Oryzias latipes: one gene and its partner. Each later gene encodes a partner of the first gene's protein in a complex. Links are inferred from orthologs where the notes say so. Each region holds a gene or a part of one and is shown in the gene's direction. Other genes may lie near its edges.

What was found.
Region 2: the proteins of ntsr1 (region 1) and uncharacterized protein LOC101157195 are in contact, whole or in part, in a crystal structure (PDB 4BUO), measured with the Rattus norvegicus proteins. The link is inferred for Oryzias latipes from reciprocal best matches to the Homo sapiens genes NTSR1 and NTS. Residues at the interface, in NP_001102437.1 of Rattus norvegicus: Ser53, Asp54, Leu55, Asp56, Asn58, Phe128, His132, His133, Tyr146, Met208, Val224, Cys225, Thr226, Pro227, Ile238, Arg327, Arg328, Phe331, Cys332, Tyr333, Ile334, Ser335, Asp336, Trp339, Phe344, Tyr347, His348, Tyr351; in NP_001095851.1 of Rattus norvegicus: Arg157, Arg158, Pro159, Tyr160, Ile161, Leu162.

Annotation. Positions count from the first base shown.
Region 1 is NC_019865.2:5,560,514-5,564,899, forward strand, and holds the start of ntsr1 (neurotensin receptor type 1), read left to right. Parts: upstream 1-1,295; 5' UTR 1,296-1,450; coding exon 1,451-2,107; intron 2,108-4,386. UniProt on the Homo sapiens protein: G-protein coupled receptor for the tridecapeptide neurotensin (NTS). Signaling is effected via G proteins that activate a phosphatidylinositol-calcium second messenger system.
Region 2 is NC_019864.2:1,846,230-1,850,480, reverse strand, and holds the start of uncharacterized protein LOC101157195, read left to right. Parts: upstream 1-1,266; 5' UTR 1,267-1,529; coding exon 1,530-1,593; intron 1,594-2,650; coding exon 2,651-2,712; intron 2,713-3,960; coding exon 3,961-4,167; intron 4,168-4,251. UniProt on the Homo sapiens protein: Neurotensin may play an endocrine or paracrine role in the regulation of fat metabolism. It causes contraction of smooth muscle.

The DNA of each region.
Region 1 (4,386 bases):
TACAACTTAAACAAGAACTAATGTTCAGTGTCTCATCAGATAGCTTTTAACCCTTGTGTTATCCTAGGCACTTTTACATTGGGAGTTGGGTCATCCAGACCCACTAGACTGTGCTCTGAACCTTTTTTCTTCAATGATTTGTGATCTTCACTGGTGTCCATGGATTACATGAAATCTTTCCACCATTATCCACCTTTGTCATGGTAAGGAGAACACGTCAATGGAAGGGTGGGGTCATCTAAGACAGCACAACAGTTTTTACCGAGTATTATAACCAGGGTCTGTTTTAGCACCATAAACTAGAGAAATTGCATTTCTTTCCAGATATAGAAAATATAGAAATACTACGCTGGATCAGATTTTATGCTCACTTGATCAGGCTGAATCTTAATGCTTCTGCTGCCATACAGTGGTGGACAGTCGAGTCATGGCGAGGCTTGGTACACAAAGATTGAGGGCTGTCCACGTCGTCTACAAACTCGCTCGTGGCTGAGCAATCCAATTCGGGAAAGGCAGACCCTGCAGCAGAGGCTGTAGGTGAAAGTCTGTTCTGGATTCGGTGGTGGACAGTGGAGTGGAGAGGCGGAGCTAACATGCTCGTTGCCACAGCGCTTAGCTGCACTTGCCTTGCTGGTGCTGAAGTAGATTCAGTATTTTAACTTCTGTTTGTGCATTCTGTACTTTCTCTTTTTTTTATTTTGGCCAAGAACTAATGTCCATTTTTGGCAATCTTATAGAAATAACAATATAAAGTAAAAAAATGAAACAATATGGTGGCAGCCTTGTCCTTGGGGCGTGTGTATAATACGTGAATGGGTGGGCCCAGCTAACCCTTTGATGCCAGGGCTGATTAAATAGTGACAAGCAGTAACCGAACCCTTATCACCATGGCCCCACCTCCGTGTTTGACTGTTACTCTCATTTTGTTCAGTCTGTTTAACTCCAGATGTCAAGTGATTTCCAGAAAGGCCTTTTTATCCAGATGTTTCCTAATGTCAGACCTTTTGTCTTTGTGCTCATTTTGGTTTTAATGTACCTTTGCAGGTAGCATATCTGTTATCAAACTTATCAAATAAGAACTATTTCTTCTTCAGGGAATCTTTGTGGAGTATAACAAACGCTTTTATATATAAACTGTGTCAGTTATAATAGCAAAATTCAACATTATTCATTATTCAACATTATTAATTAAAACAATTCCTCTCCAAATTCAGTAAAATGTCAGGAGTCTCGTGAGTCAGAGGCTCCTCTCGCCCTCCGTGCGCGCGCGTCACCGCGGCAGCGGGAGCTGCTCTCACGCCTCCAGTTGTGCCAAGTATAAAAGCCGGCTCTCCTCCAACCTCCACCGACAGACAGACAGACAGGTCCTACACTGCTAAAGTGAAAGGTCCGCTCCCGGTTTGAATTCCCACAAACCGCGCGCTCATGGTCTGTGCGTGAACCAAGAAAGATGGATGTGAACTCCTCGCTGTCGGAGCGCAGCTTGTTCGGCTTCAGCGCGCTGGCCAAGAGACTTTTGGGGAACATATCCGTGTTGGAGAACCACACTGCTAAAGCAGGGAAGGAGGAACTGGACGTGAACACGGACATCTACTCCAAGGTGGTCGTCACCGTCATTTACGTGGCCCTGTTCGCTGTCGGCTCTCTCGGAAACTCCATAACGCTTTACACCCTGCTGTCCAAGAAGAGCCTCCAGAACCTCCAGAGCACCGTGCACTACCACCTGGCAAGCCTCGCCGTGTCGGACCTGCTCATTCTCATAATTTCCATGCCCATCGAGATCTACAACTTCATCTGGGTCCACCACCCGTGGGTGTTTGGGGACGCCGTGTGCAGGGGCTACTTCTTCCTGCGGGACAGCTGCTCGTACGCAACGGCGCTCAACATCGCCAGCCTGAGCGTGGAGCGCTACATGGCCATCTGCCACCCGTTCAAAGCCAAGAGCATCATGTCCCGGAGCCGAACCAAGAAGCTGATCAGCGCCATGTGGCTCGCGTCTTTCGCGCTCTCCACACCCATGCTCTTCATCATGGGTCAAACTATAAGTAAAGACGAAGAGATCTGCACCACCATCGTGCCTCATGGGACCATGAAGACCGTTCTCCAGGTAAGCATCTCATTTAACCGTAAGAAATAAAGGAACCATCCCAAAGATGAGCGCGCCCTGGAACACCCGAGCCAGCCTTTACGCACGGCTGCTCCCATCTGCGCGCATTCATACCCTCAAAAAGAGAAGATGGAGAAGCAGAGTTTCTCCAAACTATTTAAAATACATCTATGAGTTTAATAAAACATGGATTCATTAACCAGAAATACACTTAAACCCTCCAGCTTCACTTTCAGACTTTTAGGTAATGAAATATGAAACAGTTTACATTTTGCCACATTTTTGAGTGCAGAAACACGGGAAAATGTTTTTTCTGTTAATAATAGATGGTTTTTGTTTTTTTCTGAGACATGAGTAGCCTAAACTTCGTGGAATTGGCTTTGTTCTCATTCAGTGATTCATCTTTCATGGAAACCAAAATGAAGATTTGGTTCTCTACAGATCTCTTTATTCCTTTAAGATGAAACCTAAAGAAAATTTCCTTTCAAACTTTAAACAATTTCAAAGCGTTCCCAGTGCTATTTTAAATTTGACTGTGCCATTTTTAGCCTAAATAAATTTAAAAAAAACTGTCTTTTTTTAGGACATAATTTCTGCAGAGCAGCAGGAGTTGTGGGAGGGACTGTTGATGAGGAGCAACCCCGTCCCCTCTTCCCCTCCCTGTTGCTGAGAGCTAAGAGGGAGCTTGTGGCCTACTCAGTGTTTTTTCTAGGACACAAATAAGCTCTTTTACAAATTGTTTTTTTTTCTTCTGCTCCTGATTCACTCTGATTTGAAAAAAATAAATGTTGATTTTTTAGCTTAATTTTCTTCTATAGATGTCGTCCATCATCAGAAAAATGCCACAAGTACAGCACATCAGAAATAACATAACGCTCTTGTGAGACTTTATGTGCGACAAAGGTAAAGGTTTTCAGCTCATAAAAAGAGAAGGATTCTGTTTCAGCCTTTTACAAAAATAAACCTTGACATTTCTTTGGCGTTCTACTTTAAATCAGATGTTTCGTAAATGGAAACCCATTTGCTTAAATGGAAAATTTTAACACACAGGAAACAACATGTTGGTTTGAAAATGTTTGGAAAAGTTTACAAGGTAAATTCAAGACCATTTGTTTCAAATGGTGATTGATGCCAGGTAGGTTACCAAATCTGACACTGGAACAGTTTATTGTACAAGTATTGATGCTTTGAGCGCCTGCATGCTCTGTGCCGCTTCTGATCCATTTAAAGTCCCACTCCGATCATCTTTTAATCTATTTTCAAAGCATTACCAGTGGGTCTTTAATTGTGATTATGCTGTTTTTAGACAAATTAAAAAAAACTGTTTTTTTTAGGACATTGTTTTCGCAGAGTGGCAGGAGTTGGGGGCAGGACTGTAGGTGTGGACCCCCTCCCCGTTGCGAAGAGCTCTCTGCTTACTTGCTCTCCTGCTAGCTTACAGCCCCTCACACTCCCAATATAACATTACCATGGGGACAAAAATGGTGAGCAACTTCAAAGCTATCCAGCCGTACAGTTTTAGGCCAGATGCCAGCTCATAAGAGGAAAACAAAGACCTACATGGATCTAGTTAGCTGCAAATGGATGCATCCGAATGGAGATCTGCCCAATGTTGCTCCTACATCGCAGCTAAAGGTTTTTCAACCTGCATTTTTTTCGCCTGCGACTGATTCCCAATGATTTGATTAAAGTAATACTCTATATTGTGTCCTCCATAATCAGAAAAATGGTACAAGATGGTGCTTAAAACACCAAAAACTTGATTTTCATTGGAGTTGGTCTTTAAACTAGTTCTCCTGGGAACCATTCCTCACATCAAAAAGAGATCAAGTTCTGTTTGTTCTCTGAATTTCATTTATTAGGTTTTTCTTTTGTCTGACCACACCTTTAGCTTCCATTTGTTTAAAAAAAAAAAAGACCGCAATGAATCCCCGTTTTTGAGTCCCACGGTGAAAACCCAAATGGTTTCACGGTGTTCTTATTGTTAGAATGTGAACAGAAAAATAAGGTTTCAAGGACAAATAGACAATGGAACGTGAGCTGTCGTGCACAGTTAAAGAGTCTTCACAATGAGCATCTCCCTATGAAGGCTTTCATTTCTCATTTCCTTTCAAGTCTCACAATTTTTTCTAATTTTCTTTTCAGCATCCCTGCAAGACAGCGATTTAGTCAGGCAGAGCTGAAGCCATCAGCTCTTATCTGCCTTGAATTGTTTTCCCACACAGCACTTTGGTGTCAGCCACGTTGCAATTGTTTGTATTTTATTTTGGTTTATACTC
Region 2 (4,251 bases), on another chromosome or scaffold:
CTGTTTTTGGGTTTAAGGGGCTGCTGTTCCTTCTGATTTACATATTTATTTCTGGAAATGTCAAAATAAAGATAAATAAATGGTTTATCATTTATCTTTACGACACATGAAGGTTTTAAAAAATAAGGTACAAAAGAACAAAAAACTTTTCTTTATATTTTAATTTACCTAAATAAAATCAGTGTTTTTTTCAGGACAAAAATGATCATTTGTAACATAAAAAAATATTATCAATAGATTTGCTTACATTTGATTTTCTGCTTTGACTCAAGCTGTTTTCTGACATTTCTCTTACATTTATTTTTTAAATAAAATACAATGAACTACCAAATGTATTCATTCAGTAAAGTTCATTGTGTCTACAAATTGAACTGAGTTCTTATGTTCTTTTTTCTTAGATAGTTTGTTTGTCAACATAGCTAACATGTTTCGGTTGAATCACTTCCACCTTCAGTATTGTGTGACGTCTTTCAAAATCAACGTAACGTAGCTTTAATTGTCATTACATGCACAAAGATATTCCAGAAAGTGCCTTTTCAGTCACTTATTTAGCAAAAAGTAAACAACATGACACCATGTTATAGTCACTTTAAGGCAAGTTTTAGCCCAACAAAATAAAAAAGATCATTTTTGGGGATTGTTCTTACTATTTTGTATGTTTCTAAATGGTAGAATAGGAAATGTTGCCTCTTATTGCAGAAATCAAACTTGACAGCAAAAGCTTTTATTAAACAAGTTGATATCAAACATGATGAATTTCTTTTCCTTAAAGTGGAATAACCACAAATTTGGCTTGGTTTTAAAAACACTGTTTTTGGAATAACACATCTGAACAGAATTCTTTGTCCTGTTGCACTAAAATCTCTCACAAACATTGATTTAGTCTTCCAGATCACCAAACTACTAGCTGAGCTGCAGACACATCATTTGCAAAAAAAAAACCAACAGTATTTTTCTTCCCCCAAACAGAAACAGAAACACTAAGTGGGATTTGTGCAGCCTCCCACATCCTCCATGCTACACAACAATTGGACACAAATGCACTGCAAACCTCACGCTCCATGCTTTCACGGGGAGATAACCAAATGTACCAAACCATGACGCAAAAACCCTTGGTTTCATGATGCCAGAGTGACGTCTGATGGGACGGTGACACCATGATGGGATGGAAAAGATGATAGAGACTGAGGCAAGGAAAGGAGGGGGGGGCATGGAGGTGGGTGGGAAGGTGGAGATGGAGATGAGAGAGGAGACGGGAGCGTGTGGGGGTGAGGAGAACGATCCTCTGACATCACATTGGCTCTTATAAACCCAGGGAATGGAGCCCACCGCACTTCACATCCAACCTGGAAACCACAACAACCTTCTTGGACAAGAAGAAAGAAAATACCAAAAAGGAGGCTCGGCAACTGGAATCTGCATGCCTCCAACCTTTTCAGCTCCCAAATTCTGAACCTTATGGCCTAAATTCTTACAACTCTTCAGTGCAAAACGTTTTTCTTTTTGTTGGCTTTCTTTTATTTCCCTCGATGATGCAGCTGCAGGTGGCATGCATGCTCCTTCTCTGTTTCACATGCGGCACACTCTGCACGGGTAAGTACAGAGATCTTTTATCCCCCCCCCCCCCCCCCCCCCCCCCAAAAAAAAAAAGGTAGACTTTTTTACTTGCTGCATGCAACAGGTGTTTCCCCTGCCTTTGTTCCCATGTCTGTTCTAATCCAGGAGGATCTTAGATCTGCTGAAATATGCATTAATGCAAGCCAACAAGAATGTAATATAATAAAAGTAAAATTTAAATCTAGAAAATGTAGTTTCAGATGGGTCAGGGTTGATGTGAGGACGGAAGGAGGGCTCACCCATTTAAACACAACTGCTCTTTAAAGCAACAAGTTAGACTCAAGACTTTAATAACTCAACTACAAAGATGCAGTGAGGGATGTTTGCTTTTTCCTTTTTTTGCAAATTTTAGTTCATGACATCAATTAACTTTATGCTTCCATGTAAAAATACCAAGACCGATAACCACCAAAATCCAACAGATGGGTCGTTTTGTTTTTACGCTTTAGACCAATGAAGGCTTTTCCATTTGACGCTTGTTGATGCAAACACAATAACCACTTCAGATTACCTTAATTTAGCATCTACATGAACATACAAAACATTAATTACTTTTTTTTGCATAGCTGGAAATAATCAAGGATAAAAAAGAAGCTTTTTTTAATGTTTTAGTTCATGTAAATCTTAAATCGTCATTATAGACTGTAACTTGGAACAGAAGCTTTGTGGCATTACTTTTTGCATTTTAAATGTTATAAGCAATAAAATGAATATGGAAAATTATGGTTTAAAGAATATTTGTCTTTGAACTTAACTCCAGCTGTTTTTGGAATTTTCAACTTCAAGTCCTTTCGGTTTCTCAGTTACATGAGTGTCAACTTTAGAATTAATAGAGACTCAAATAGAAAAAGTTTGTCACTCATAACTTGCCACCGATAACAAATGTGGGCTTTCCCCTTGTTAAACACGTAGAGACATGCTACAGTTCTCATTTAACCACCTGGCAGCACACGGCAGATTCAAACTGATAGAGTTATTTGTGTCACATCTAACCCGAACGTTCGCCCGTCTTTTTTCTTTTTTGGTTTTGCAGTTGCTGAACAGAACCAGGAAGCCCTTGCGCAGGAGCTCATCAGCAGTCTCCTCACCTCTAAGGTACAGGTTCTGTCTGCAACTACATCAGGAAAATATGAACATATGTAGGCTTAAAATGACCGTGGTCTATTTCTTATACAACAAAAATGATCACTCCAATCGCTGATGTCCTCTTTGAGGAGACAGAGGAACCATTTCCAGACTTTCTCTGCCATCGGAGCACTAAAAGGCAGGGAGACGGTTGCTAGTGTTGGGTTCCAGCTGAACCTCCTTTCCTTACTAAGGAATGAAAAATGAAGCATGATGGTGTCAAACCGTGCCTCATCGCTGCTAATGTTTGGTCAGAAGTAATGAGCACGATTGCAACAAAAGGTGCTGCAGACTCTGGAGAGGAGGATCACAGAGGACAGCAGCACATCAACTCACACATCTGTTGGTGTCTCACATCCAGGAGAGGAAGTTTACGGGAAAATGACGCCGACTTCAAGACCTTCTTTACTATACAGCACAGACCTTTACATTGCTGAACCTTTTTTATTGTCAAACTGAAAACACGACTGTCCCTCCCTACAAAGTTTGAGGCCAAGTAAAAGAGCTCTGCCACTCTTCTGTTGAAACACACCTGTACGACTGCTGCCTTTAAATAGTCTTTTTCACTTGAAATTTGAGGGGTTTAGAGGGGCTTGAGCTTATATTCAATACACTATTTCCATTTTTTTCCATGAACCTCTATGTCACTCGCTGCTCTTAAATAAGGGATGTGATGTTTGCGGACTCATCCACTCAGATCTTCATTTAATCTCTTCCCGCCTGACTTTATTTCCAATTGTATACAAACAATATTGTAAATTTGAGATGCTGCCAAATGAATTAAAGTCCTGGATGTAATGGTAAGTCAGTGACATATAAAGGGGTTAACCACGTCACATAGTCTGACCCTCTTCTTCTGGGCACATTTAGAGGCAGACAGGAAAAAGTCCTCATGAATTCAGTTTAAACGAATGGATGGAGCTCAGATTTATTTAATGTATCTTAAAGGTTGCAATGAGAAACACTTTATAATGACCAACTATGTTTTACTAAACATTTGCAAGATGTTAGCATCTCTAAAAACATCTGTGAATGTCCTGAGTTCTGGGGAACGTTTTATGTCAGCTTTCACACTTTCTCTGCTGTAAAATCCAGAGATGAGGAGGAGAACTGAAGGATGTTTAATCAAAGAGGCTATTAAAAGTGTCCAAAATGAAAATGTGGTCACATGAAAGTCCTGTTTTTTTGACGACAATGTTTCTCCTTTTTCCCTTCTAGATTAGACACGAATGGCAGAGCGCCCCCTACTGGCATTCACAGCTCTCCAGTTTGTGCAAATTAGTGAGTGGCCTTCAGGAGGGCACATGGAGCAGAGAGGAGGAGGAAGGGGAGGAAGGGGAGGTGAGGGAGGGGAGTCTGCAGCTGCTGGAGGAGCTGTTCAGCCTGCAACACGTTTGCCGAGCCCTGCAGAGCCGGGAGGAGCGGGTGAGGCGCTTACACCAGCAAACACCACGGAGAAGGAAAAAACACTCCTTTGTGTCTTTTTTAATGCACCTCAGATGACGGCTC